2 linked regions of the Stegostoma tigrinum genome follow. The protein of the gene in region 1 purifies or fractionates together with the protein of each later gene. This does not show direct contact. Links are inferred from orthologs where the notes say so. Each region holds a gene or a part of one and is shown in the gene's direction. Other genes may lie near its edges.

What was found.
Region 2: the proteins of protein tyrosine phosphatase domain-containing protein 1-like (region 1) and mapk1 purify together in Homo sapiens (affinity purification with mass spectrometry; 3 studies listed by BioGRID and IntAct, with this or other methods). This does not show direct contact. The link is inferred for Stegostoma tigrinum from reciprocal best matches to the Homo sapiens genes PTPDC1 and MAPK1.

Annotation. Positions count from the first base shown.
Region 1 is NC_081364.1:27,304,883-27,320,532, reverse strand, and holds the start of protein tyrosine phosphatase domain-containing protein 1-like, read left to right. Parts: upstream 1-8,914; 5' UTR 8,915-8,986; coding exon 8,987-9,200; intron 9,201-9,875; coding exon 9,876-10,047; intron 10,048-15,650. UniProt on the Homo sapiens protein: May play roles in cilia formation and/or maintenance.
Region 2 is NC_081379.1:44,395,701-44,411,321, reverse strand, and holds the start of mapk1 (mitogen-activated protein kinase 1), read left to right. Parts: upstream 1-9,874; 5' UTR 9,875-9,912; coding exon 9,913-10,040; intron 10,041-15,621. UniProt on the Homo sapiens protein: Serine/threonine kinase which acts as an essential component of the MAP kinase signal transduction pathway. MAPK1/ERK2 and MAPK3/ERK1 are the 2 MAPKs which play an important role in the MAPK/ERK cascade.

The DNA of each region.
Region 1 (15,650 bases):
AGTATACCGTTTTGGATACTGTTGTGGGGGATGACTTACCAGGGGTAAGCTGTGGGGTACAGGACTCTGGCACAGAGTCTGTCCCTGTTGCTCAGGGAATGGATGAGAGGAGGAGAGCATTAGTCATTGGGGCCTCCATAGTTAGAGGGAACAGGTCGTAAATTCTATGGGAATGAGAGACACTCGTGGTTGGTGTGTTGCCTCCCAGGTGCCAGGGTGTGTGATGTCTCAGTGTTTTCGGAATCCTTAAGGGGGAGGGTTAGCAGCCCCAAGTCATGGTCCACATAGGCACCAGCGACACAGGTACCAATGACGGAGGTAGGAAAAGGGATGGGATGGGGATATAAGGCAGAAATTCAAGGAACTAGGGTGGAAGCTTAGAGCTAGAATAAGCAGAGTTGTTATCTCTGGCTTGTTACCTATGCCACGTGCTAGGGAGGCGAGGAATAGGGAGAGAGAGCATTTGAACATGTGGCTACAGGGATGGTGCAGGAGGGAGGGATTCAGATGCCTGGATAATTGGGGCTCATTCTGGGGTAGCTGGGACCTCTACAAATAAAATGGTTTACACCCGAACCAGAGGGGCACCAATATCCTGGGGGGGGGGCGGATTTGCTAATGTTCTTTGGGAGGGTTTAAACTAATTCAGCAGGGGGGTGGGAACCTGATTTATAGCTCCACTGAACAGGAGGTTGAGAGTAGTGAGGTCATGAATAAAGTTTCAAGGTCGCAGGAGTGTACCGGCAGGCAGAAAGGTGGTTTGAAGTATATCTACTTCAACGCCAGGAACATCCAGATAAAGGCGGGTGACCTTGCAGCATGGGTTGGTAAATGGGACTTTGATGTTGTGGCCATTTCAGAGACATGGATAGAGCAGGGACAGGAATGGTTGTTGCAGCTTCCGGGGTTTAGATGTTTCAGTAAGATCAGGGAAGGTGGTAAAAGAGGTGGAGGTGTGGCACTGTTAGTCAAAGACAGTATTACGGTGGCTGAAAGGATGTTTGATGAGGATTCGTCTACTGAGGTAGTAATGGGCTGAGGTTAGAAACAGGAAAGGAGAGGTTGGGAGTTCTCTACAGCCTCTGAAAAGTTCCAGAGATGTAGAGGAAAGGATTGCAAAGATGATTCTGGATAGGAGCAAAAGTAACAGAGTAGTTGTTATGGGGGACTTTAACTTTCCACATATTGACTGAAGACGCTATAGTTCGAGTACTTTAGATGGGTCAGTTTTTGTCCAATGTGTGCAGGAGGGCCAGTCAAGGATAGTAGTCGGAAGTTGTGCGTGGAGTCTGAAGAGATAGTAGAGGCATTAAGTATTTTTCGTCAGTATTCACACGTGAAAAAGACAATGTTGTCGAGGAGAATACTGAGATGTAGGCTATTAGACTAGATGGGATTGAGGTTCAGAAGAAGGTGGTGTTAGCAATTCTGGAAAGTGTGAAAATAGATAAGTCCCCTGGGCCGGATGGGATTTATCCTAGGATTCTCTGGGAAGCTAGGGAGGAGATTGCAGAGCTTTTGGCTTTGATCTTTATGTCGTCATTGACTACAGGAATAGTGCCAGAAGACTGAAGTTTAGCAAATGTTGTCCCCTTGTTCAAGAAGAGGAGTAGAGACAACCCAGGTAATAATAGACCAGTAAGCCTTACTTTGGTTGTGGGTAAAGTGTTGGAGAGGATTATAACAGAGGATTTATCATCATCTATAAAGGAATAATTTGATTAAGGATAGTCAACACGGTGTTACGAAGGGTACGCCATGCCTGACAAACCTTTATTGAGTTCTTTTGAGAAGGTGACCAAACAGGTAGATTAGATTAGATTCCCTACAGTGTGGAAACAGGCCCTTCGGCCCAACAAGTCCACACTGTCCCCTGAAGCATCCCTCCCAGACCCATCCCTCTATAACCCACACTCCCCTGAACACTACGGGCAATTTAGCATGGCCGATCCACCTAGCCTGCACATCTTTGGATTGTGGGAGGAAACCGGAGCACCCAGAGGAAACCCACGCAGACACTGGGAGAATGTGCAAACTCCACACAGACAGTTACCCGAGGCCGGAATCGAACCCGGGTCCCTGGCGCTGTGAGGCTGCAGTGCTGCCCTGAGGGTAAAGTGGTTGATGTGGTGTATATGGATTTCAGTAAAGCATTTGATAAGTTTCCCCATGGTAGGCTATTGCAGAAAATACAGAGGCATGGGATTGAGGGTGATTTAGCTGTTTGGATCAGAAATTGTAAGAAGACAGAGGGTGGTGGTTGATGGGAAATGTTCATCCTGGAGTTCAGTTACTAATGGTATACCGCAAGGATCTGTTTTGGGGCCACTGCTGTTTGTCATTTTTATAAATGACCTGGATGAGGGTGTAGAAGGATGGGTTAGTACATTTGCAGATGACACTAAAGTCAGTGGAGTTGTGGACAGTGCGGAAGGATGTTGCAGGTTACAGAGGGACATAGATAAGCTGCAGAGCTGGGCTGAGAGGTGGCAAATGGCGTTTAATGCGGAAAAGTGAGAGATGATTCACTTTGGAAGGAGTAACAGGAATAGAGAGTACTGGGCAAATGGTAAGATTCTTGGTTGTGTGGATGAGCAGAGAGATTTCGGTGTCCATGTGCATAGATCCCTGAAAGTTTCCACCCAGGCTGATGGGGTTTTTAGGAAGGCGTATGGTGTGTTAGGTTTTATTGGTAGAGGGATTGAGATTTAGAGCCATGAGGTCATGTTGCAGCTGTACAAAACTCTGGTGTGGCCGCACTTGGAGTATTGCGTACAGTTCTGGTCGCCGCGTGATACGAAGGATATGGAATCATTGGAAAGGGTGCAGACGAGATTTACCAGGATGTTGCCTGGTCTGTAGGGAAGGTCTTATGAGGAAAGGCTGAGGGACTTGAGGCTGTTTTTGGGAGAAAGAAGAAGGTTAAGAGGTGACTTAATAGAGGCATACAGGATGATCAGAGGATTAGATATGGTGGACAGTGATTGCCTTTTTCCTTGGATGGCAATGGCTAGCACGAGGAGACATAGCTTTAAGTTGAGGAGTGATAGATATAGGACAGATGTCAGAGGTAGGTTCTTTACTCAGTGTAGTAAGGGTGTGGAATGCCCTGCCTGCAACAGTAGTAGACTTGCCAACTTTAAGGGCATTTAAATGGTCATCGGATAAACATATGGATGATAATGGAATAGTGTTGGTTAGATGGGCTTCGGACTGGTTTCACTGGTCGGCGCAACATTGAGGGCCAAAGGGCCTGTACTGCGCTGTAATTTTCTATGTTCTATATTCTGCGTTCTGCATTCCCTGATTGAATGGCCTGTTGAACTACAGTGCAAGGATCGGTTTGTTCATCCTTTGTGTAGTTCCTTCTGTCTCTCCTCGCTCCATCTTCCCCTTTCTCTGTCTCAAGCTGTAAGAACCTGAAAGCTATAGAACAATTGCAAGGCTGAGACTCCTCATTGATACCTTTTTTAGATCCACGTAACTGCCTTTCCTACAGTTGCATCTCCCTGTCCATGACCATAAACGTAATCTGAAATACTGCACTTGAGGAATGTGATGGTTTCCTGAAACAAACTCACAGTAATTTTACACTTCCTGACTCATTGCAATGTCCGGCTCATCAACTCGAAGCAGATATTCCTCCTGCAGTGGACACTTTCGATATGGTTGGTGTAGGTCACAAACTATGCTTGCTGACCCCTGGTGCTATGGACAGAGAATGCATTCATAGGGTATTCAGGACAGTTTCTTTTGAGCAATATATTCCAGAACCAACCAGGGAACAGACCAATTTGGACTGGTAATGTGCAATGAGGTAGAATTAACAAATTACCTCAGAGCAAAGAGTCCTCTAGATAAGAGTGATTGTAGCATGTTCACATATCACATTAAGTTACAAAAAATTGGTAGGTGAGAAATTTGGTTTAGAACTTTTAAACTTAAGTATAGGCAGTAACAGTGTTGAAAGCCAAAATTGGTTGAAATGGAATGGGTTAAAAAGGTTAAATGCAGGTTTCTGGAAAAGCAATGACAGATATTTAAAGAGGTATTTCATATTTCCCTTGGTTTTGCTTTCAAGGAGGAGGTAGATATAGCTCTTGCGACTAAACAGATCAAGAGATATGGGGGAGGGTGGGATCCTTATCCCTAGTATTGAGCGTGGTAATTAGTCATGATCATAATGAATAAATGAGCTGGATCAAGGCATTGAACAGACTCCTCTTATCTTTTGTTTTTCTATGTATGTTTCTATATACTTCAGAAAACACAGAAAAATAGGTTAGGAGATTGCAAAAACATTAAACACCAGCGAAGAATATATGGAAAGTGGAGAATTAGGCAAATCTAAGAAAACTAACAAGTGAAACTGGATAAATTACTGAATAATAATAATTTAACATTGTTGGGGGGGGGGGGGGGGGAGTATGGAAGGCTATGAACCATTATTTTCTAACTGTCCTCACAGGAGTAGACTCCAAAAAGCATCCTTATAAATTGCAGACAAGCAGGGGCAAAAGGGCAGGAAGAATTTTGAACCGTCAAAATGTAGACAACTCTGGCTGAATCATTATTATTCAGTTTTAGCAAATTTTTAGCAAAAGGCTACTAGTTTTAAATGTTTAATGCAACCACAACTATTGTTGGGATGCCAGCGCCACATTTTTTCATACTTTTTCCTCTTCATTCTGTTCAGCTACCACAGAGTCCACACCAAATTCTCATATTTTGCCTGGTCGCATTTCCGTTTCCCACACAGTCATCCTCGTGAGCTGTTTAAGAAGTTTGGCAATTTCGTGCTGCTGATCTATTTTCCGGAGCAGCTCATTTAATACTTAGAAGTCTTAAGGACTGGCTAAAACAAATCATGCACGACAGTACGTGTCTTGACGCTATATTTTACCCTGTGCTTTGCGGCTTTCCTCTATGGAACAGGCAGTGTAATTGGCTCAACAATACAGCGTTTGCAGTCACAGAGTTACACAGCGTGGAAACAGACCCTTCGGCCCAACTTATCCTTGCCAACCAGATATCCTCAAGTGATCTAGCCCCATTCTCAGCTTTTGGCCCACATCCCTGTAAACCCTACCTATTCATGTACCCATCCAGATGCCTTTTAAGTGGTGTAATTGTGCCTTCCTCCACCGCTTCTGCTGGCGGCTTGTTCCATACACACATCACCCTTTGTGTGGAAAAGTGTCCTTTAGGTCCCTTTTTAAATCTTTCTGCTCTCACCTTAAACCTGTGCCCCTTAGTTTTGGAACCCCTTGCCTGGGGAACAAGATCTTTGCTATTCATCCTGTCTATGCCCCTTATGATTTTATAAATCTCTCAAAGGTCACCCCTCAGTCCCTGATGCTCCAGGGAAAAAGCCCCAGCCTATTCAGCCTTTCTGTACAACTCAAACCTTCCAATCCTGGCAACATCCTTGTAAATCTTATCTGAATCTTTTTAAGTTGAACAACATCTTTCCTATAGCAGGGACACCAAAGTGGCGTCACTGTCTTCTGCAGTCGCAACATGATCTCCCTGCTCCAATACTCAGTGCACTGACCAATGAAGGTGAGCGTGCCAAACGCCACCTTCACTCATCTGTCAACCGGCACTTCTACTTTCAAGGAACAATGAGCCTGCATCCCTAGGTCAGTTTGTTTGGTAACACTCCCTGACATCCTACCATTAACTGTATAAGTCCTGCACTGGTTTGCCTTATGAAAATGCAAAACCTCACATTATCACATCTGCCATTCCTTGGCGCATCTGATTTCATGTGATATAATCTTGCTAATCAGTCTATCATGTGGAACCTTGTCAAATGCCTTGCTCAAATCCATACAGACAACGTCTACCATTTTGCCTTCATCGATCATCTTTGTAACTGATTCAAAAATCACAATCAGGTCAGTGAGACATGATTTCCCAAGCACAACGCCATGTTGACTATCCATAATCAGTCTTTGCCTTTTCAAATGAATGTAAATCTGGTCCCTCAGAATCCCCTGCAACAATTTGCTTGACACTGAATTCAGTCTCACTGGTGTCTAGTTCCCTGGCTTTGCCTCGTCACCGTTCTTAAATAACGGCACTACATTAGCCTCCTTCTAGCTCCTGGAACCTCTCACATGGCTGTTGATGATACAAATATCTCAGCAAGAGGGGCAGCAGTCTCTTACCTACCTTCCACACAAAGCTCTGGGTTACATCTAATCTAGTCCTGCAGGATTGATCTACCTTTATGGATTTTAAGACCTCTGCACTTCCTCTTCTGTCATGGACAGTTTTCAAAACATTGCTGTTTATTTTGCCAAGTTCACTAGCTTCCTTCTGCACAGTTAATTCTGACACAAAATATCTTTTAGAATCTCACTTATCTCCTCTGGTTCCACGTGTAGGTGGCCTCATTGATCTCTAAGGGGGTCCTATTCTTTCCCCTTAGTTACTATTTTTTTTTCCTTATTGTATTTGTAGGATCTCTTTGGATCGTCCTTAACCCTATTTGCCAAAGCTATCCTGTGTCCCTTTTTGCTCTCCTGATTTAGTTCTTAAGTATACTGCTACTCCCCTTATACTCCTTGAGGGATTCACTCGATCTCTGCCATCTAAACCTGATGTTTACCCCATCCTTTTTCTTGACCAGAGCTTCAGTTTTTCCATTCAGCATTCTCTACACCTACCAGTCTTGCCCTTCGCACTAACAGGAACACAGTGTCTGTCTCTGATCTCATTATCTCATTTTTGAAGGCGTCCTATTTTCTAATCATCCTCTTACCTGCCAATAGCCTCCCCCAATCAATTTTTGAAAGGTCCTACCTCATGGCTATCAAAATTGGCCACCTTCCAATTTAACTTGTAGATCACGTCTATAATTTTCCACAACTATTTTAAAACCGTTTAGAATTATGATCACTTGCCTAAAAGTGCTTCTCTACTGATACCTTGCTCACTTGACCTGTCTCATTTCCCAACAGAAGGTCAGGCTTTGCTCCTTCTCTAGTTGGTACATTCACATACAGAATAAGAAAATTTTCTTGTACACACTTAACAAGTTCCTCTTATTCCAAGTTGTTAAAATTAGGGCAGTCCCAGTGTACATTTGGAAAGTTAAAATCCGCTACTATTTTTACAGATATCTGAGATCTCCTTACATATTTGCTTCTCAACTTCCCACCAATTATTGTGGGAGGACACAATCTCCTCTGGTTCCACATGTAGGTGGCCTCATTGATCTTTAAGGGGGCCCTATTCTTCCCTTTAGTTACTCTTTTTAGCACAATCTCGATAAGGTGATCATCCCTTTCTTATTTCTTAATTTCATCCAGATAATTTCAGTGGAAGTTTTCCCAGGAATATCCTCCCTCAGTACGACTGAAATGTTATCCTTACATAAAAACACCATCCCCCTCCTATCTTGTCTTGCTCCTTTCTATTCCTCCCAAAGCATCGATGCCCTGGAACATTAAGCTGCTCGTCCTATACCTCCCTGAGCCATGTTTCTTTAATAGTTATGATATTCCACATTCCCAACCATGCTCTAAGTTCATCTGTCAGACTTCTTGCATTGAAATAAATGCAATTTATGTTAAGGTCGGCTGCTAAATGATCATACGTTTATTCTTTAGAGTTAATCATATTTTCTGAGTTTCCCTCCAGGAATATTGACAAAGGGACGTAATTCCCTGATTCGATGAGCATATAATGGAAAACATGATAGGTAAGGTGTCTTATGGGAAATCTAGGAGCAAACATAGCACGTGTGTGCCATTACAATAAATTAGATATCTATGTATATTTCAACAGATGCTGCCATGGCTACAAGAATTTCCCTACATCCTGAACTGCCTTACTCTTCATTAGAACATAGGAGGTATATTGTAACTTCAGACAAAGGTAAATTAATATTTCATGTTTTAATAAACTTGCTGAGCTACTTTACTGAACTAACAACCCAGAGGCAGTGAGTTCAAAATTCATATTTGCTAGTTGTGAAATTGAATTCAGTTTAGCTTTATTTTAATACTGTAGTGTAAATTAGAACAATTGGGATGCAAGTACAGTTAAAAGACATTTGGATAAGTACAGGAACAGGAAAGGTTTGGAGGGACACAGGCCAAACACAGGCCGGTGGGATTGGTCTAGTTCGGGAACATGGTTGGCATGGACTATTTGTATCAAAAAGTCTGTTTCCATGCTGTATGATTCTATGATGCTGTGAATAAATTAGTAATGCACAGTACTGATTTTGTTAGAAAAACAATGGTCCATATTGTCAATTTGTGAGGGAACCAGGCAATTCCCTCCTGGTGCAGGGGAGCAAATTCTACTTCAGACCCCTCACTTTTCTGAACAGGGGCATAGCTTTAAAGTAAATGGTTGAAGGGTGAGAGGGGAGATAGCAAAATGTTTTTTTTTCACCCACATGGTAGGGACCAGGAATTCAGTAACTGAAAGGATGATCGAGGCAGAAGCTCGCCATATTCATAGAGCATTTTATTTGTCAACTGAAAAAAGACTGATCAGCTGGATTTACAAACTTAGTGCAGGAAGGTGAGCTAATACTGTGAGGTTCTTTGTCAATTAGCACATGCATGAAAGACTGATTTCTTTTTTCCTGTCAAGTTTATTATTCCGTTGCATTTACAGAATGGATCAAAGAATAATTCATTTTATTTAACATGCTACATTGATATACACAAACACAAAGCTTCCAAACCTGATATATGAAGCAGCTGCACAATTGGTCTATTAAACTGCAAAGATATTGCCGAATAGAATGATACCTTTCCCAAACTGCAACATGACATGACATGGACTATCATAATTGGCTCTGCTAGTTGTTACTATGGAAACTCCTTAGCCTCTCCTAAAGGACTGATGTAGTCTATCAGAATATCATTAGATTGCAGTGTAACTTCCCTGTAATCTTGTTTTTTTTTGCAAGCTGTAGCTGTTCAGTGGTGGCAGTCTTGAGTGTTTCAAGCAAATCATCATGCAGGGATCTTCCAGAAGGCATTCAGCAGTAGAGTATTTGAGCGGCTTCATCCAGAGTCAGAGGCGCTCTGCTTCTGATAGCCTGGTCAGAGTTTTGCAGAGACGTCGGAGCTCAGCCATCGAGATGCTTTCATCTACATCTCACCAGGTTATGGTTGCTGTATCATCAGTCAGTATTGAAGAGGCTAAAACTAGCCTATTACCAGGAAGAAGTACTTCACTTTGATGTTATTATTTAGGATTTCACTATAATAGATATATGCATACATTTCAAACTGCAACATTTTTAGTTTTTTTGGTGTATTTTGTTTCAACTGTTTATTTTTGACTACATCCACAGTTCCGTGCATGTTTTTATAGAAGTGTGTCTTGGATGTTGATAAAGCTGCAATTTATTTTTAAACCAAATTTCAAATAGTGATTGTGAAATAGATGTATATAAATTGTACATTTAGTCTATAAAGGTGCACTAAATGTTGTAGGGTTAATATTATGAGAGAACTTGAACCCTCCCAACATGGGCTGATATAGGGGATTTTACTAAATGGAAAGTTTTGGGAAACCTGATTTTGAATTTCTGATGTGTATTCCTGCGCTGCATTAGTCTTGTAATTTGTAAAATTATTACAGGCATAAAATGGTATGCTTGAAAGTTGATTGTTTACTTAAAGTAAATTAAATAATTTGTTTCAAATCTTCCAATGCTATGCCTTTTGTATTCTGACATTTTGTCTAACAATTAGTATGTGTTTACTACAAGAAAATAAATGTTAGAGTCAACTATTTTCACAGCTTGATTAAACAAAGTCCTTAAATAAATTCATTTGAATTACAATTATTACCTTGCCACTTTGAAATGTACTTGATTGCCTGTTTCTTCATTTCAGGCAGTATGCGACGTCCAACAGCCAAGTATACCAAAGTTGGAGAACGCCTGCGGCATGTTATCCCAGGCCATATGCAGTGCTCAATGGCATGTGGTGGTCGTGCATGCAAGTATGAGAATCCATCCCGATGGAGTGAAGACGAGCAAGCTGTAAAAGGATTATACTCTTCATGGTATTACTTGTTGACTTTTTATTTTGAAAAAAGTTACTAATTGATACTTGACTAATTACTCCAATATATGCACTACACTGACATAACTTCATAAAATGTTTCCATTCTTTATCAAGTAAAGGATATTGACAAATTGTGGTAGAATTATTATTAATTTGGAATAGCATTCATAGCAAAAGTAATTTGTTAGTTTAAAAAATAATAATTATGCAACTTGTATAATTAGGTAGCTAACAATTTTCAGACTACTATATTTGTGGCATTGATAATTTAGAAAAGCAAAATTAACATTAAAATGTATTAAATGTGCATGTATGTGGAATTTTAAGCTTGGCTAAAGCAATCTTTCTAACCTGATTTTAAAAAAAAGTACCATTGCCTTTGCTTCACTGACAGACGTCAATAATGAAACCTAAGAATGTATTTTTATAGGGGGAGGTAATGGCCGAGTGGTATTATTGCTGGACTGTTAATCCCGAGACCCAGATAATGTTCTGGGGACCTGGGTTTGAATCCTGCCATGGCAGCTGGCAGAATTTGAATTCAATAAAATATCTGGAATTAAGAGTCTAATAATGACTGTGAATTCGTTGTCGATTGTTGGAAAAACCCATCTGGTTCACTAATATCCTTTAAGGAAGGAAACTGCCATCCTTACCTGATCTGGGCTGCATGTGACTCCAGACCCACAGCAATGTGGTTGAGTCTGAACTGCTCTCTGGGGCAATTAGGGATGGGCAATAAATGCTGCCGAGCCAGCAAAGCCCTCATGCTGTGAATGAAAAAAAAGTTTACATGCATCTTAGGAGAAATTGCTGATGTTTCTACTTGCTTGTATTTTGAAAAAGCAAACCAAAGAAATTAGTTCTCCTCCTGCTGGATCTAAATGAAAGTTTTTGTTTTCAAATACAGCCATCAGGGAATGAATATCAAGAGTCCAAATTTATTTTTCTTATGTTCCACCTAAATTGACCAATAATCTTTCATTACAAGATCTTTATTGTAACTAAATAATGATGTACACTTCTCATGTTTCTGAGCTATAATTTTAATAATTGATTTCAATTAATCTGGTAACTTGGTGCTTAAGTTGTCTGAATCTTCCAGCTCAGTGTTTTATGCCCACCAAATTGCTGGAAGTGCCCAGTGATGATAACCATGTGAGAGGAACATGGTATCCGCAATTTGGTGAATAACAGGACTAACAAGGTATGTCTTTAACCAGTGGGTTTTAACAATTGAGAAATAAGATGAGGAAAGATTGAGAAGATAAATATTAAAATTGCTAAATTCAGTGCCAAATCCGGTAGAGGGGAAGAAAGATTGGATTAAGACATCAAGAGGGGAAAAAATGAAACAAAACAAAACAATTTTTAAGCTTTGGAACATTTTATTCTCTGAAAATTCACTACCTGAAAAAGAGGCTCGCATTGTGATTTATTCATTTTCTGGTGAGTGAATTGATTGGTTTTCTGTAACAGTTCTTGCATTGTTAGAAAGATATTTATTCTCTTAATCACTGCATGTAACTTTGCTGTGCAGAATTTCATGGATAATTAGGAATCTTGGAACAGGAGCAGTTCATTCACCCATTCAAGACTTTTCAACTGTTTTGTGAAATCATGTATTATCCAAACTCAAAAGCAGATTGAAAGTTGAGCCAGGGTCTACTTTTTTTTTGTGAGACTGAGTTCCATGCTTCTACCATCGTTTGCATGAAAAAAGCTTCTTCACTTCTCTACAAACAATAAATTTTAAAGTTATGTCTTCTTTTCTGAGACTCCCTACCTGCAAACAAAATAAATTTGTCTTGTCAATTTATTTTAAAATCTTAAAAGTCTCAATCAAATTATTATTCAATCTTCTATATTCCAGGGAATGCTGGCATAATTTATGCAATCCTGGCAACAGAGCAGCATAAGTGATAATGGGAACTGCAGATGCTGGCGAATCCTGATAACAAAGTGTGGAGCTGGATGAACACAGGCCAAGCAGCATCTCAGGAGCACAAAAGCTGATGTTTCGGGCCTAGACCCTTGGTCAGAGAGGGGGATGGGGAGAGGGTTCTGGAATGAATAGGGAGAGAGGGGGAGATGGACCGAAGATGGAGAGAAAAGAAGATAGGTGGAGAGGAGAGTATAGGTGGGGAGGTAGGGAGGCGATAGGTCAGTCCGGGGAAGACAGACAGGTCAAGGAGGTGGGATGAGGTTAGTAGGTAGGAAATGGAGGTGCAGCTTGAGGTGGGAGGAAGGGACGGGTGAGAGGAAGAACAGGTTAGGGAGGCGGAGACAGGCTGGGCTGGCTTTGGGATGCAGTGGGGGGAGAGGACAAACTGGGCTGGTTTTGTGATGCAGTGGCGGGGGGGGGTGGAAGGGGACGAACTGGGCTAGTTTTGGGATGCAGTGGGGGAAGGGGAGATTTTGAAGCTGGTGAAATCCACATTGATACCATTGGGCTGCAGGGTTCCCAAGCGGAATGAGTTGCTGTTCCTGCAACATTCGGGTGGCGTCGTTGTGGCACTGCAGGAGGCCCATGCTGGACATGTCATCTGCGGGATGGGAGGGGGAGTTAAAATGGCTCGCAACTGGGAGGTGCGGTTGTTTATTGCGAACCAAGTGGAGGTGTTCTGCAAAGTGGTCCTCAAGCCTCCGCTTGGTTTCTCCAATGTAGAGGAAGCCACGCCAGGTACAATGGATACAGTATACCACATTGGCAGATGTGCAGATGAACATCTGCTTGATATGGAAGGTCATCTTGGGGCCTGGGATGGGGGTGAGGGAGGAGGTATGGGTGCAAGTGTAGCACTTCCTGTGGTTGCACGGGAAGGTACCGGGTGTGGTAGGATTGGAGGGCAGTGTGGAGCGGACAAAGGAGTCATGGAGGGAGTGGCCTCTCCGGAAGGCAGACAAGGGTGCGGATGGAAAAATGTCTTGGGTGGTGGGGTCGGATTGTAGATGGCAGAAGTGTCGGAGGATGATGCGTTGTATCCGGAGGTTGGTGGGGTGGTGTGTGCGAATGAGGGGGATCCTCTTGGGGTGGTTGTGGCGGGGGCGGGGTGTGAGGGATGTGTTGCGGGAAATGTGGGAGACGTAGTCAAGGGCGTTCTCGACCACTGCGGGGGGAAAGTTGTCCTTGAAGAACGTGGACATCTGGGATGTGCGGGAGTGGAATGCCTCATCTTGGGAGCGAATGTGGCGGAGGCAGAGGAATTGGGAATAGGGGATGGAATTTTTGCAGGAGGGTGGGTGGGAGGAGGTGTATTCTAGGTAGCTGTGGTCGTCAGTGGGCTTGAAACGGACATCAGTTACAAGCTGGTTACCTGAGATGGAGATTGAGAGGTCCAGGAAGGTGAGGGATGTGTTGGAGATGGCCCAGGTGAATTTGAGGTTGGGGTGGAAGGTGTTGGTGAAGTGGATGAACTGTTCGAGCTCCTCTGGGGAGCAAGAGGCGGCACCGATACAGTCATCAATGTACCGGAGGAAGAGGTGGGGTTTGGGGCCTGTGTAGGTGCGGAAGAGGGACTGTTCCACGTAACCTACAAAGAGGCAGGCATAGCTGGGGCCCATGCGGGTACCCATGGCCACCCCCTTTGTCTGTGGAAAGTGGGAGCAATCGAAAGAGAAGTTCTTGAGGGTGATGACTTTCCATATTAAGCAGATGTTCACCTGCACATCTGCCAATGTGGTATACTGTATCCATTGTACCCGGTGTGGCTACCTCTACATTGGGGAAACCAAGCGGAGGCTTGGGGGCCACTTTGCAGAACACCTCCGCTTGGTTCGCAATAAACAACCGCACCTCCCAGTCACGAACCATTTCAACTCCCCCTCCCATTCCTCACACAACATGTCCATCATGGACCTCCTGCAGTGCCACAATGACGCCACCCGAAGGTTGCAGGAACAGCAACTCTCATTCCGCTTGTGAACCCTGCAGCCCAATGGTATCAATGTGGACTTCGCAAGCTTCAAAATCTCCCCTTCCCCCACTCCATCCCAAAATCAACCCAGCTCGTCCCCTCCCCTCACTGCATCCCAAAACCAGCCCAGCCTGTCTCCGTCTCCCTAACCTGTTCTTCCTCTCGCACATCCCTTCCTCCCACCTCAAGCCACACCTCCATTTCCTACCTACTATCCTCATCCCGCCTCCTTGACCTGTCCGTCTTCCCTGGACTGACCTATCCCCTCCCTACTTCCCCACCGATACCCTCCTCTCCACCTATCTTCTTTTCTCTCAATCTTCAGTCCGGCTCCCCCTCTCTCCCTATTTATTCCAGAACCCTCTCCCCATCCCTCTCTCTGATGAAGGATCTGGGTCCGAAACGTCAGCTTTTGTGCTCCTGAGATGCTGCTTGGCCTGCTGTGTTCACCCAGCTTCACACTTTGTTATCTTAACAACAGAGCAGCATAAGTTGCCTTGCACCTTCCCATTTCACAGATTATTTTTCCTTGCCCAAACTTGCTCTCTGATTTGCACATTTTCAGCAAATTCTGGTCAATAATCTGTGTCAAACCATTTTGTGATATTTCTTTTTTAAGCTTACCAGCTAAACTGAAGGATGTTATAATAACGATGAACAGGTATTGAATTAATCTGAAAGTATTCGAAAGAACCTTTAGTAGGGAGGGGGACAAGTGAATTAAAATTTAGAACAGCCATGGTTACATTTATAGAAGCAGCACTCATGTAGAATGACTCAATGATACTAGGAACTGCAGATGCTGGAGAATCCAAGATAATAAAATGTGAGGCTGGATGAACACAGCAGGCCCAGCAGCGCCTCAGGAGCACAAAAGCTGACGTTTCGGGCCAAGACCCTTCAGCAGAGAGGGGGGGTTGGGGTGAGGGTTCTGGAATAAATAGGGAGAGAGGGGGAGGCGGACCGAAGATGGAGAGGACAGTATAGGTGGGCAGGTAGGGAGGGGATAGGTCAGTCCAGGGAAGACGGACAGGTCAAGGAGGTGGGATGAGGTTAGTGGGTAGGAGATGGAGGTACGGCTTGGGGTGGGAGGAAGGGATGGGTGAGAGGAAGGGATGGGTGAGAGGAAGAACAGGTTAGGGAGGCAGAGACAGGCTGGATTGGTTTTGGGATGCAGTGGGTGGAGGGGAAGAGCTGGGCTGGTTGTGTGTTGCAGTGGGGGGAGGGGACGAATTGGGCTGGTCTTGGGATGCAGTGGGGGAAGGGGAGATTTTGAAGCTTGTGAAGTCCACATTGATACCATTGGGCTGCAGGGTTCCCAAGCAGAATGAGTTGCTGTTCCTTCAACCTTCGGGTGGCATCATTGTGGCACTGCAGGAGGCCCATGATGGACATGTCATCTAAAGAATGGGAGGGGGAGTGGAATTGGTTTGCGACTGGGAGGTGCAGTTGTTTATTGCGAACCGAGCGGAGGTGTTCTGCAAAGCGGTCCCCAAGTGGTTCCCCCCACAGTGGTCGAGAACGCGTTTCCCGCAACACATCCCTCACACCCCGCCCCCGCCACAACTGCCCCAAGAGGATCCCCCTCGTTCTCACACACCAACCCACCAACCTCCGGATACAACGCATCATCCTCCAACACTTCCGCCATCTACAATCCGACCCCCACCACCCAAGACATTTT
Region 2 (15,621 bases), on another chromosome or scaffold:
ACGACTGAGGTGTAACAACTGTCCCTTTGCCATTTGTTTCTAATGAGAGGGAGGTTATTCAGATTCTTCCCCATAATGCGTCCTAGGAATTGGTTTTATTCAGACACTTCAGAACTTTTGACCTTTCATGCAGGATTGCATCAAAACCCTTCTGGATGGTCTAGTAAGTTATCTCAAGGTATTAATGCTTGTGATAAATATAGCCCCTTTATCCTACATTATCTTGGAAGATTTATGTATTTTAGGCCAACTTTTCTATTAACCAGGGCTAAACATAATGTCTATGCTAATCTTCAAATTAGAAAGTAGAGGCTGGTTTGGGAAAGCAAACCAAATTGATTAATCTGGTAATTTGATAGATAATGCAGATTTTCTCCAGCAGGTCAATATGTTTCAGGAATTGGCAGGTTGAGATACAGATGGCATGTGTCAAATACCTCACCAGCATATAATCCAGTAGCTTTTGTTTTGTGTTTTCATCTCAGCTGATGGAGACTGTCACTGGAAACCAAAAATTGTTCTGTGTTTCAGCTCAATTCATTTTCTGAAACTGAAATGTGGGCACAATTTCAACTTGCAAGTGACTGAAGTTGAGGGGGTTATAATCTTGCTCCTGAACTCTGTGGTCAGTGTATCAGAGATAGCTCACAGAAAAGGATTTTTAGTTCTGTGCGGACTTAATCTGGCTATTGTTTTACAACTTGTCCAGGCATAGGGAGTTTGGTAAAACAAAAACCATGGGAGAATTTTAAAGCAAAATCTGATGCCTCAATGAATAAGGAGCTATTAGGGATGAGCAAAACCTTGGTGAAAGCTAAAGGTTTTAAGAAGTGGGAAGGAGTGTTTTTATTGCAGGGAAGACAAGTTGAGGAGGCTTAGGGAAGGTTCAGGTGAAGAGGCTGAGGGAATTTTTGGTTTAAAGCTCTGGCAGACATGCCTACAGCTGCCTAATGGTGAAGCCAATTAAAATCAAAGTACAAATTCAATCTACTTCATGTGAGGTACATGGCTATTATTGAGTGGGCTTCCGTTATAGAAACAAGTGGGTTGCCTAGAATCATAGAACTGTACAGCACAAAAGGGAACCATTTGGCCTCCTGGATCTGCACCAGCTATTTCCGTGGATTTTCTGAACAGTAAATTATGCTGATTTTAATGTTATTGGTCTTACTTTCCTCGCAATAATCATTGCCGCCTCATAAATCTGTTCTCTAATCCTGTTCAGTTTCTAAGGAAAATAGAACCTGTTCTTTGTAAATTTATCTAGCTAAACAACCTTACGAACAATGAAGCAAGAAAGATGGAAAAAGCACATCTTACACTCTACACAAACTCCCATGCTGCTCCAAAATCTTGGAAATATAGGGCTGTGCCCCACCCTATATGTAATTGCTGTTTCATGATCGTGCAAAGCTTACTGATCCCATAAATGAATATTTAAGAAGCTACATAAACATAGGAGGGAAGAAAAGATAGAGTATGTCGATAGGCTTAGATGAATAAAGATATGAGGAGGTTCATGTGGAGCATAAAGCCGTTTGGTCAAATGACCAATTTCAATGCTGTAGCAGCTATGCAACACTCTGCATTTGGCTGCAATTAAATTTTGAAAAGTTTTCTGTGGAGATAAAGCCAAATTTTAAAAGAATGCTTATTGAATCACACACTTTGGTCTCCATAGCACATGTAAGGTATTGACCAATAGGGGAAAGTTGAATGAAGGTCACCAGGATTGAGAGGATGAAACTATCAGGAAAATAGAGAAGAGTGCGGTAGTCTGCTCAAAGATCACACCTTGCAGCAGTCTTTAAATTATCGCAGGGGAATGATATTGTAAACATGTAGGCTTTGATTATATTCATGAGTACAGAGCATTGGGACACTGGTATGTAGTAACCACAAAATTTAGGAGGAAGCATTATCTTCAGGGAGCGTTAAGGATGTGGAATTTACTGCAACATGGATTGGCCAAACTAGATAACATTGATACATTTAACCTCAATTGCTAGTATGAGAGGGAATAAAAAGGCAATATTGGGCATGTGAAAGGTCATCAGAGTGACAGGAAGCTCATGTGGAGAAGAAACTTCAGCACTGACCAGTTAAATCAATGGCCTCTTTCAGTGCTGGAAATATATTTTAGTTTGAGCTACTCAAATAATATGTCAAATCTTGCCTTGTCACTTAGAAGGCTGAGAGTTCAATTCCTACTTCAGAGGCTGGAACATGTAATTTGAGTGACATTTCAGTATAACACTGTGGATTCTTCACCACTGGAGATAGCATCTTTTATTCAAGACATTAAACTTTTTCTGTTCTCTCAGGTGGACATGAAAAAAATACCATAGCCCTATTCAGAGGGGAGCAAGGAGATCTCCCTGGTGTCCAGTCATTTTTTTTCTCTCTCAAGCAACATCGGTAGATTTCGGAAGGATAGGACCAGGTCTTTCAGTCCTCAAATCTCTTCCAGTGCACAATTAGCTCACGGTGGTTCATATCTTAACTCTATTTTACTTCCTGTATTCTGTAATCATTGACATCCTTGATTAATGGGAACGATTTAACCTTAGCCTTGTCACTTTAAATTTCTTTACCAGCTCAATATCTTTTTGGGGAACAGAATTCCAGATTTCTTCTACTCTTCACATGAACAACTGTTTACTAACATCCCTGCTACTCCTGTGTTTAGATCAGGGGACAAAAAAGGAGGTATACAGCATGGCTGATGTGCTTGATAAGTATTTTGAATCTGTCTTCACCAAGAAGAAACTACCAAAGTCACAGGAAACAAAGTGGTAGTTGGGAACCTGGAAATCTGGCTATACTTAATGTAGGCAAATCTCTAAATTGGACGCAGATCTGAAATCAAAACAGAAATACTGGATATACTAAGCAGATCTTGCTGATTGTGGAGAGAGAAATAGAATTAACATTTCAGGTGACAGACTTGGAAGGTTAATCCTGGATGGGATGCATCCTAGGTTGCTGAGGGAAGTAAGGGTGACATTCTGGCTTTGAGGTTCCAATCTTCCTTATACACAGGTGATGCTCAACGACTGGAGAATTGCAAATATTACATCCTTGATTCATAGCCCAGCAACAATAAATCAGTCAGTTTAACCTTGGTGGTAAGCAAAACTTTTAGAAATGATAACCTGAAACAAAATTAACAGTCATTCAGAAAAGTGTAGATGAATCAAGGGAAGCCAGCCCCAGGACAAAATTGTTGAGGGCAGTGGTATGATATATATTATTTTTAATCAACCTGTTTGATAATGTTATGATACACCTAAGGGGCAGGTGGAACTTGAAACCAGACGTTCTGGCCCAGAGATAGGGGCATCTGCACTGCACAAAAAGACTCAACGATGTGATGTATGTAGATATGTCTCATAACAAGCTTGTCAGCAAAGATGAAGTCAATGGAGCCAAATGGCTGCATGCATGTGAAATTGGTTCAGTGACAAAACAGAGAATAGCGTGAACAGCTATGTGACAAATAAGGAACAGTGAGGTTCCCTAGATTAATACAAGGACAACAATTTTTTTGAGATATATATGTTAGTATTTAAGAGGTGTGAGTGGTTAAGATGTTGCTAAACTTGAAAAGATTCTTATTGTCAGGGTTGGAGGGTTTCAGCTACAGGGAGAGGCTGAAAAGGCTGGGGCTATTTTCCCTGGAGCATCGGAAACTGCGATGTGACTTTCTAAAATCATGAGGGGCATAGATAGGGTGAATAGCCAAGGTCATTTTCCCAGGATTGGGGAGTCCAAAATGAGAAGGCACAGGTTTAAGGTGAGAAGGAAAAGATATGAAGGGACCTATCAGGAAACATTTTGACGCAGAGGACTGTGCGTGCATGGAATGAGCTGCTGCAGGAAGAGGTAAAGTCTGGAACAATTACGACATTTAAAAGTCATCTGGATGGATACATGAATAGGAAGGGGAGTTTAGAGGAGCATGGGCCAAATGCTGACAAGAGGGACTGCATTAATTTGGAATATCTGGTCATCATGGATGAATTGGACCTAAGGGTTGGCTTCCTTGCTGTTCAGCTCTATTATTCCATGACCTGGGCGCAGAGGGCACAATTTTAAAGCATGTAGATATCTCAGAAATTGAAAGTATGTAGAACAGCAAAAAGAAAAGTGACAGATTTCAAGAGGATGAAGACACTCAGGTAGGCATAAGAAATTTTAGTGAGAAGTGCAAAATTATACTTTTGATAGGCAGGGGAGGCAATACCATATAAATCACTTCTAACTGGGCAGCGAAAACAGTGACCTAGGGATTTTGGCAACAAATTGTTGCAGTTTGATAACTGATTGAAAAGCACAGGGGTTTTTGTACTTTATTGATGGTGTCTAATCTTCTCCTTGGGTTCCTGGCCTGAAGACAGGTCTGACCCAATGCACCACCTCTTCCATAGGTAAGAGAAGTAAACAGGTCAAAAACCATGCTAGCTGGAATAAAAACTGAACATATGCCAATGACACTAATCTGATCCGTGCCAGGTCACTGCTCACTGAGCCAACTAGCCTCCAAAGACAGCCCAGTTACTGTGGCAACATTCACTTTTGTATGCAAATGGTAATCCTGAGCTACATATAGTGGTGGTGGAGATTTCAATTTTCTTTTCATATCTGGCTGACCAGGAATTTCTCCTGGCCCTAGTGGCTGCCATTGGTGTTTGACGGAAAGATATACAAGTTGATTACTCAATCTGTTTCGCTGCTTTTTGAACCAACTTCCTGGACCATCAAGTCCTAGAGTGGAACTTGAACCTAGAACTGCTGCATATATCCACTGCTCCAAAGAGCTCCTTTAAAGCAAATATAAAAGCAACGTACAGCAGATTCTGGAAATCAAGTAAAAGGACAAAGTTGTGTAAGTACTTCAAGTTTCGCAGCATGTGTGGAAACAAATGTGTCACTAAAGCCTCCTCAATTTCCACTGACAACCCAGGATGCATTTCTTCTAGACCTGGTGATTTATTTACAAAGGTGTACAAAGAGAAGCAAATCTGCTTTTAATTTGCTTCTTTCGATATTCCACTTTATTAACTACAAAAGCAAGGAAGTTCTGATGAATCTATATAAAATACTGATTCCACTATGACTGGAATACAGTTTCTAAGTCTATGCAAAACATTTTAATCACATTATGAAGGTCTTAGAGAGGATACAGAAAAGATTTATTAGAATGGTTTCAGGGCCAGGAGCTCCAGTCATGTGAGTAGACTGAGGATGCTGAGGATATTCTCAGAAGACAGAAAGATAGAACATAGAAAATAGAACAGTACAGCACAGAACAGGCCCTTCAGCCCACGATGTTGTGCTGACCATTGATCCTCATGTATGCACCCTCAAATTTCTGTGACCATATGCATGTCCAGCAGTCTCTTAAATGACCCCAATGACCTTGCTTCCACAACGGCTGCTGGCAACGCATTCCATGCTCTCACAACTCTCTGTGTAAAGAACCCGCCTCTGACATCCCCTCTATACTTTCCTCCAACCAGTTTAAAACTATGACCCCTCGTGTTAGCCATTTCTGCCATGGGAAATAGTCTCTGGCTATCAACTCTATCTATGCCTCTCATTATCTTGTACACCTCAATTAAGTCCCCTCTCCTCCTCCTTTTCTCCAATGAAAAAAAGTCCGAGCTCAGTCAACCTCTCTTCATAAGATAAGCCCTCCAGTCCAGGCAGCATCCTGGTAAACCTCCTTTGAACCGTCTCCAAAGCATCCACATCTTTCCTATAATAGGGCGATCAGAACTGGACGCAGTATTCCAAGTGCGGTCTAACCAAAGTTTTATAGAGCTGCAACAAGATCTCACGACTCTTAACCTCAATCCCCCTGTTAATGAAAGCCAAAACACCATATGCCTTCTTAACAACCCTGTCCACTTGGGTGGCCATTTTAAGGGATCTATGCATCCTGCTGTTTTGATAGGTGTTCAACATCATGAATGGCTTAGACAGAATTGTGTTACAGAAGGAGGCTGACAGTCAAATCAAATCAGCCTCCCTTTCCTCGTATTCACAACACAGTAAAATTAGAATATTCCATGACCCACAAAATTGCCCCAATGATTCATAACCAGAATTTTTGAATACCTCACAGTTCATAACCTAAAATAATTTTAAAAAATATTAATTACACAGTAGCTTTAGCAGAGCAAAGTTAAACAAGGTAAAACAGTAATTTAAACCCAATCTTCTTTGATTCTAGACCTCCACTTGCACAAAAGCAGATAGACACAGTTAAAGGATAAATTAAAAGAAAAAAAAACAGATGAAAAGTGACTGGCAAATTCATTTAACCTGTTTCCACCCTGTAGCATCACAGGTGCATAGGATTGCAGCTTGCTTGGTTTCTGAAGACACCGATCAATGCAAACAGTTTCCTGTAAGCTCCAAGGGAAAGTCGCTTAATTCTTATGACTGAAATTCTATTCTCTGAAGTCTCAATAAATTGGTAATTGGACAATAATAATACTGTAGTCATACATCCTTGCTGTAGCTTTGGCAGCCATAATCATAGTGACAAAAACACAGTTCAAAATCTGTGCAAACCTTAGTTTCTCTTTTGGATTTTCTTAACATTATTTCTCTTAGGCTGACTGCTACCATAACTCCATGAGGCCCCATCTACATCCAAACATTTACCATCTGTTTGAGAGTAATGCATCTTTGGGACCAAAATATCTCTACAGCACTTTGAAGAAGAATCCAACTGCAATTAATTTCCAGGCCTGGTCTGAAACAAATATTTTTGTTTGAACAAATGTTCAAATGGTTGTTCCCTTTCTAAAAAAAAATGCTGCTGCTGACAGATCAAAGATAGCCTTCAGCTCCAAACCAAAAATAATGAAGGTCTCAAGAAGAGAGAGAAACTATTCCCTTTGGTGGAAGGATCCGGAATTGGAGATCGCAGCTTGTAGGCAATTGGCAAAATAGTTGAAGGCAACGTGAAGAAAAGTCTTTTTGGGCAGTGAGTAGTTAGGATCAGAAATACACTGCCTATGTTGGAAGGATAAAGTTGCCAGAAGACTGTACAGTTGCTCTCTTGTTATAGAGAGAATGACTGGTGGTAGTTTAACCAGATGTCACCATGCATCAGGTGAGGGGAGAGGTTGAGAAGGTAGGACCTTCATGGTAACCTCAACCGTGTTGAAACTGAACATGCCTTGTTGGCATCAATCCACATCACAATCTAGCCAGCTGAAAAAGGGGATGTGATGGCTTTGTGGTGTCATTCATGGAGAAATTTGCAAGAAAATAAAAACCACAAGTCAATCACGAAGTGGTCAGTACATAGCATCCTCAAGACACAGCAGGAAAAGGAGAGGGTGGATCCAGTCGTGTGGGTCCCTGAACAGACTGTCAAAGTCATTTGGCAGAATGCCTCATCACTAGAACTTTCTGACCAGCACCAAGACATCACTTGGCTGATGGTAAGAAGGGCACGACCTGAGAGATCCTTCATGTACACCTAGTTGGTTTGCGCCACTGCATGCTGCGGTCGAAGCAGCTGCAGGGACGTTGAGACTATCACACACCTTCTGGAATGTGGTTTTTTAAAGGCAATCTGGAGAAAGACACAGTGGTTTTTGGCAAGGTTCATCCTGAGCATCTCTGGGACACAGGACTCTGTACTCTATGGTCTGTCCCCCATACTGAGACAAACATCAACTGCACCTGGAGCCCTCGATTCAGTGAAAGACGTTCTTTGGTCTGCCCAAAACTTGTTGGTCTTCCAGAACAACTATTGCAGACTGGCACATTCCAAGGTCCAGGACTATGTGCTCAGGGATATTGTAAAGTTTGGGGCAACTGCTGCCATGACGCCACTGTCTGAGGTCTTTCTGAAGTCAAACAGGTGTCTGTTCAATTATGAGACCCTCCTAGTGCCTCAAATGCATGTAAATATAGTCTTGTACATGTAAGAGACGTCTGTGGTTTGTTTGGATACGGTCAAACTCCAATGTTTGTTTACTTCCTTGATATGCTACTGTACAGAACTGAACTGCATTTGTAACTATATGTGTATAAAAGATATTTTTTAATGAATAAAGTATGTTTTTGAAATTAAAAAAGGTATTATCACTGGACAGTTAATCCAGAGATCCAGGTAATATTCAGGGACCTGGGTTCGAACGCCACCATGAATTCGTGGAATTCATGGTCTGGTCTACATACGACTCCAGACTCACAACACAGAAGCATAGAAAGTAGGTGCATTAGGGATGAGTAGGGTCATTTGGCCCTTCAAGCCTGCACCACCATTCAGTACGATCATGATTGATCATGCAATTTCAGTATCCCATTCCACTTTCTCCCCATACACCTTGATCCCATTAGTTTCAAGGGCCACATCCAGCTTCATCTTGCATCTATCTAATGAACTGGCTCCAACAATTTTTTGTGGGAGAGAATTCCACAGGTTCACAACGCTCTGAGTGAAGAAAGTTTTTCCTCATCTCAGTCCTGAATGGCTTATCCCATATTCTTCGACTGTGATGTTTAACTCTAGACTTCCCCAGCACTGGGAACATTTTTCCCACAGCTAACCTGTATAGTCCCATGAGGAATTTATGTTTCCATGAGGCTCCTTCCTCTAAAATCCAGTAAATATAAGCCCAGTCAATCCAATCTTTCTTCATATGTCAGTCCTGACAGCCTAGGAATCAGTCTGGTGAGCCTTTGCTGAACTTTCCCCAATGGCAAGATTATCCTTCCTCTGACTAGGACGTGGCCTCACCAAGGTATAAATGGAGCAAGCCATCTCTACTCCTATGCTCAAATCTTCTTGCAATGAACGCCAATAGCTTTCCTCACTACCTGCTGCACCTTCAGCAACTACTCCACCATGAAACCCAGGTCTCGCAGCACCTTACCTTTTCCTAAATTGCCACCATTCAGCTAATAATCTGCTTTCCTGTTTCTGCAACCAAAGCCGATAACCTCACATTTATCCACATTAATAATAAAATGTGAGGCTGGATGAACACAGCAGGCCAAGCAGCATCTCAGGAGCACAAAAGCTGACGTTTCGGGCCTAGACCCTTCGGCTGCTTGGCCTGCCGTGTTCATCCAGCCTCACATTTTATTATCTTGGAATTCTCCAGCATCTGCAGTTCCCATTATCTCTGATACTATTTATCCACATTACACTGCATTTGCCAAATATTCACCCACTCGGCCAGTCTGTCAGAGTCACTTAACAGCCTCTTAGTATCCTCCTTACTGCAAACACTGCCACCCAGCTCAGTGTCATCAACAATGTGGTTGACCCTTAACTACCCTCTGGGTAATTAGGAATGGGCAATAAACGCTGGTCTGACCAGCGACAGCCTCATCCCGTGAGCGATATAAAAACATACCCCTCCTGGTCATTACCCTAAGGCTTTGTACAGGTTCTTGCTGTGCATAAAAATCGCTCTTTCTTTCAACACATTAAATTTGCTTCACAAGTACTTCATTAACTGTAAGATTCAGGAAACGTTTGGAAACAGGTCACTACATAAAATATGAACACTTCATTTCCCCTCCCTTGGCTCTTCACCTCGAAATCAAACTCGGCGATTCAACCGTCGTCCCTCAACTTTGGATCACATGGCCTACCACCGTCCAATCGAAGCACACCCCAGCTCGTTTAGATCACGTGATCAAATCTCGTCCGTTCAATCGTAGCTCCCGCGGCTGTGACCACGTGGTCCACCACCGTCCAATTGAATCACCCCACTCCGCCTTGAGTCACGTGCCCAGCACCATCCAATCGAATCGCTAACCGCTGGTTCTGGATCAGGTGGTTCAATGTGGTCCAATCAACCTCCTCCCTGTCACATGTGCCTGCCTGTCCAATAGCCACGATCCTTGGTCATTCCGGATGATCTGAGTAAGATGGCTGCTGCGCCTACTTTGCCTCAGTGCGCAACCGGGCCTGAAGTGATTCGTGGGCAGGTGTTCGACACCGGGCCGCGATACACTAACCTCAGTTACATCGGGGAGGGAGCTTATGGCATGGTTTGGTGAGTGTGATCTTTCAGGATAGTGGTGATGAGAGAGTGTCCAAGTTCGAGTCCGTAGAGGGAGGGGGCGGGAGAGGAAGCAGAGATTTGGGGGGCAGTGGTGTGGACGGTGGGATAGTAGAGAGAAAGGAGTACCAGGAGAGGTGACTGAGTATCGTCCGGAAAACGGAGGCCGCAGGATGCTTCGGGTCACTGGTCGGAATTAGGATGGAGGAGATGAGGGTGGAGATTTGGAGGGAAAGAGAAAAAACTGGGAAATAGAGAGGTCCAGGCGAGCGAAAACGGGTGGGGGTAGAGAACAGTTAAACAAATGGGGTGGAGGCTTTAGGGAAAGTGGGCTGTGACTGATAGAAGGAACGAAATTCCAGTATTTTAGTGAACTGAAGGAGAGACGAGGAGAGGATAAAGGTAGAAGAGGAGTCACGACAATTGGGTGTAGCAGGAACTAGTTGGATACAATTAAGAATATGGCAAAGGCTGTGAATTTATTGGGGTTCGGGAGAGTGGAGACGATTAGGTAATTGTGCAGGCTGTAAGGCTATAAAGAGTGTTTAAATTTGGAACGGACCTGAAGCCTGTTCATTGTATTTTTGATTAGATAATTGTAGCTTGCGTTTCTTATTGTGTACTGGCATGCCTAGTACAAATGACGTATAGCAAGTACTGAGTGCAAAACTGAGATCGAAGTCTGGCGATGCTAATGGATCTTTCTCTTTGTTCAGATGTGCTTATGCTTTTATAATTGTAATGAAGTCTTTCAGAGGTCCTTTGTAGCAAATACTTGATGGCAATTGGGAGTGCTGTGCAGTAAATTAAGCAATACTACTCTAAGTATAGAGAACAACTTGAAGATGTTTTCTTCCATTTCCCTTTTGGAACGTTATGCCTGCTACAACTGGCCAGACTTCTTGCCTGTGCTTGCAAAACTGTTTCTGCTGCTGTGTAATATGCCCTAAAATGTAAAGGTAGATATGGCAGCACCAGCAATTGCAGCATCCAGCTGGGAAGAAAATTACTGAAAATATATGCAGCAGGTGTAATTTTGATAAAAGTTTATTTTATATGTCAGTTTATACATATCTTTTGAAAAATGACCAGGGCAAGTTGTGGATAAACAGCTGTCTTCAATTAACAACACGTTACTCTCCTCAGGCAGATTTTTTTTAAGCTGAGTTGTCATTCCACAGACTTTGGCAGATTTCCATTCTTTTGCCCGAATGGTCATTTTTCATGCAAGTCTAGACACTATAAATATTTTCACTCTTTGACTGTTGTGATCAATTCAGCCCGGCCCAAACTTGTTGCCCAATATTTCATGTATTTTACAGTAGGGCTTGCTGAATGACGATTAGAAGAGAAAAGTTTCCTCCTTGGTCTACAGATGTTGAAATCAACTGTATCTGAACTAAAACTGATTTCTTAATTTTAACAGGCTTACGCCTCAATAACAAGTCTCACCTACTCCAAGCGTGTGGAATCATATGTTTGAACAAGTGGTTAGAAGACATTTACAAGCTCTATTTGATGAATAAACTTGCAGATATGCTCATTCAGGGCATTCTATTTACTTGCTATTCTGTTGAAGAAACTCCCTTTTTAAAAACACGTCATTAATATGGATAGTATAAAGTGTATGACTATTATCTCAGCAAAGTATTCCGGCAAAAGATCTTTGTATGCTTGTTGTGGTTGGCTTTTAAATCCCAGAAATCTCATCTCATTTCCTGGGGTAGTCATGCTGCTGATAATGGATAGATGTTAGCCTAAATGACCATTACATCATCAGCTCTGTTTAAAAATTCTCACAAGTAATAGCTTTAGTATAACATATTGTTTAAATTGCTTTCCTGTTCTGCTAAGTTTATTTTTTTGTTGTCAAACTAACTATTCCTAGTTTTATAATAAGAATCTTTTACTAAAGATTAGCAGGGAAGACCCTCAACTGAAATGCCTCCATGCCAAGACAATGTTTTGTGTAAATATTATTCCTGGTTTATTTGGTTGAAACAGTACATAGCCAACTGGAAGTTTTAATAACACCATATTTTTGTGTGAAAATACTTCCTTGTCATGGCTTGCTGTTGTACTCTGAGGACCTGACCACATTGATCTAATAACCTCAGAGGCAGTAGGCCATTGTGGTTAATTAAAATATGAGGCATAAGTATAGCCAATTCAGATCAATGCTGTGTCCCACCAGGGTTCTTGGAAAATACTCTTTTGGAAAAATGGTATAGTTTCTTAGACATTACTGTATTTATGCTCATCGTGCCAGTTAAAACCTCCTGACTTAGTGTTGTGATGTAGTGTTTTCTTTTGGTTGTAAATTAAGGTGAAGTTACACAAGCATGAATATTACTTAAGCAATAGAAAGGCCTATGTGAAAAATACTTTGATCCACTCACTGATACAGAACTTTATTAGGTAGGGTGCACTCGTGGATAATAAGTATTGGTGTGTCGTTTATTCAAAAATTTAATTTCTTTTTTATTGAAATGTTTTTGATTTGATGTGTCTGGTTCAAACACTTTGGTTTTTGTGGAATTGCATTTGTAAGGAAGCATGTATCAGTTTAGAAATTAGGTTCTGTCATTTACCCTGATCCTGAAGAGTGGTTATAAAAATATCAAATGCACGGCTTTTTTTTTACCCCCTCTGGGGCTCGACCTTCTCCCACATGGTGCCTTTGAACTTAATGGATGCTGTAGATTATTTATTTATATGGCTTTGGGCAGGGAAGTGTTCTGAAACATGGAGGAAAGATTTTGTCTGTAGTGCACAGCGCAATTTAATTTTCCTTTTGGATCCATGCAGTGCCAGAGCTTTCTTAGACTTCAATTATGTAAATACAGCTATTCCTAAATTAGGTGTGCTTTAAACTATTTTGGAGCCCAGGTCCAATTCCACTGCTCTTCCTACTTATGTGGAGTCCAATTAACCTGACGTGCCTGTATAGCGCTTTTTGGAAGCATACCTATGTGTTGCTTTTCTATATCCCTATACGTTTCTTATACCGAAGTAGTTGTGGATCTGGCTTTTAAAATGTTTAAGTAGATTTGAATATTTTTTTCAGGTAGTGTTGCAGACTGTGACAACTGATTTCAAAATTTCTTATATCCATTGCTGCTGTTCCACCAGTGATTTTTTAAATCTATGGTTTGTGGCTATTGACCCAATCACTAGAGGGAATAGTGTTTCTCTCCCTACTCAATCAAAACCCCTCATCATGTTAAACCCTTATTGGTCACCTCTTACTGATTATTCGCAGTCCAGAGGGAATTGTCCTAACCTTTCTAAAATCTTGTAATTGCTGGAGTCCCTCAATTTCATCTCTCACTTTTTAAAACTCTTTGTATAGCTTTTGATGCATTTCTGAAATGTGTTTCGAATTCTCCATAGTACTTCAGTTATGGTGAAAATGATTAAGTTATTGTAGCATGAGCTCCTTCCTGTTTGTTTATTTTTCTCTATTTAAGGGCAAGAGATACTCATGCGCTTTCTTAAACAGCTTAGCAACTTGTCCTGATCATGTGGATTTCACTATTTGGTCACTATGGCTGTATCTTCCCTCCTATTGTTGATGTTTTGAAATTTAATGTAAAATGATCTTGGGATTGTTGCAACATGGGAGAGAGGAGTTGTAACTAATTTATTTCTTCAGTTCAGAATTTTTTGTGAATTTGCTTGTGCTGAGGTTGAAATGAATGTCTTTACAAATGATCTCAGTTGTCTCCAAACAACATTGAATTAGTAATGTTGTAATATTTCACTAATGAGATAGTCGTACTGTTTACTTACATTTCACTGCTGTTTTAATTTCCTGCATGTTGATCTGGCACCTATTTAGTCTTGACCCTACTTTGTTTCTGTTGATCTATGCCATTGGGTTTATTTTGATGGCTTACTAACAACAGTTGTGTTTCCACTCATGCTACATAGTTTCTTCTCAAGAAGGCAAATAAAATTCCACATCAAGCAGAGGTTCACCTGCACATCTGCCAATGTGGTATACTGCATCCACTGTACCCGGTGCGGCGTCCTCTACATTGGGGAAACCAAGCGGAGGCTTGGGGACCGCTTTGCAGAACACCTCCGCTCAGTTCGCAAAAAACTACTGCACCTCCCAGTCGCAAACCATTTCCACTCCCCCTCCCATTCTCTTGATGACATGTCCATCATGGGCCTCCTGCACTGCCACAATGATGCCACCCGAAGGTTGCAGGAACAGCAACTCATATTCCGCCTGGGAACCCTGCAGCCATATGGTATCAATGTGGACTTCACCAGTTTCAAAATCTCCCCTTCCCCTACTGCATCCCTCAACCAGCCCAGTTCGTCCCCTCCCCCCACTGCACCACACAACCAGCCCAGCTCTTTCCCCCCCCCCCCCCCCCCCCCCCCCACCCACTGCATCCCAAAACCAGTCCAACCTGTCTCTGCCTCCCTAACCTGTTCTTCCTCTCACCCATCCCTTCCTCCCACCCCAAGCCGCACCCCCCGCTACCTACTAACCTCATCCCACCTCCTTGACCTGTCCGCCTTCCCTGGACTGACCTATCCCCTCCCTACCTCCCCACCTACACCCTCTCCACCTATCTTCTTTACTCTCCATCTTCGGTCCGCCTCCCCCTCTCTCCCTATTTATTCCAGTTCCCTCCCCCCATCCCCCTCTCTGATGAAGGGTCTAGGCCCGAAACGTCAGCTTTTGTGCTCCTGAGATGCTGCTTGGCCTGCTGTGTTCATCCAGCCTCACATTTTATTATCAATAAAATTGTTACTTTGCTTTGGCACTTGAGGTTCATTCAGTGGAAATGTGGTACAGTGTCACTACTACCTTGCTGTTTTGATTTCCTGATTCCACCCTATGATTTGTGATAGAATGCATTTCTGACATTTCCATTGCTAATTCTGAAATAGCTTGCAATAACCAAAACCTTTTAACTTGATAAAGTCAAGTGATAATACCTTCCATTGAATTGTACATGCAAAACAATAGGAATCCATTCAGCTCATCATGCCTTTGTAGGCTCTTTGAACTATCCAGTTACTTTCACTAACTTGCTCCTCTCCATTTGCTCTATTTGTTTCTTGTGCAGTGTATGTATATCTAATTGCCTTTTGAAAATTTTCGGTGTCTGCTTCCAGGGAGCTTTCAGGCAATATGTTACTGATAATTGTAACTCACTGCAGAAATATCTGTATTTATCTCCTTTTGGCTCTTCATCAGTTATGCTAAATCTTGCCAATCAGTGCTCGTGGAGTTTTTCCTTATTTACTATCAGATCAGTATCCTTCAAATTTTTTTAAGTTTAATCACTTAGGTTAACACAAATCGTATTCAAATTTATTTTTTGAATTCCGCCCATGTGATTTATTAACTCACCTGGTTGTTTACATTTGTGATGTAGCTGATGTTTCCAATAATTGGGGTTGAGGGGAGGACATGGGCATAAAATTGGACTTGAATGCTTTTGCCTTTGTTAACAATTAAGAGCATAAAATGTCTCCTGTGCTGTGTTATGGGTATTGAATGTGCATTCTGTCCTGTCTATGTGATTGAGCAGGAGCTTATGGCTATAGT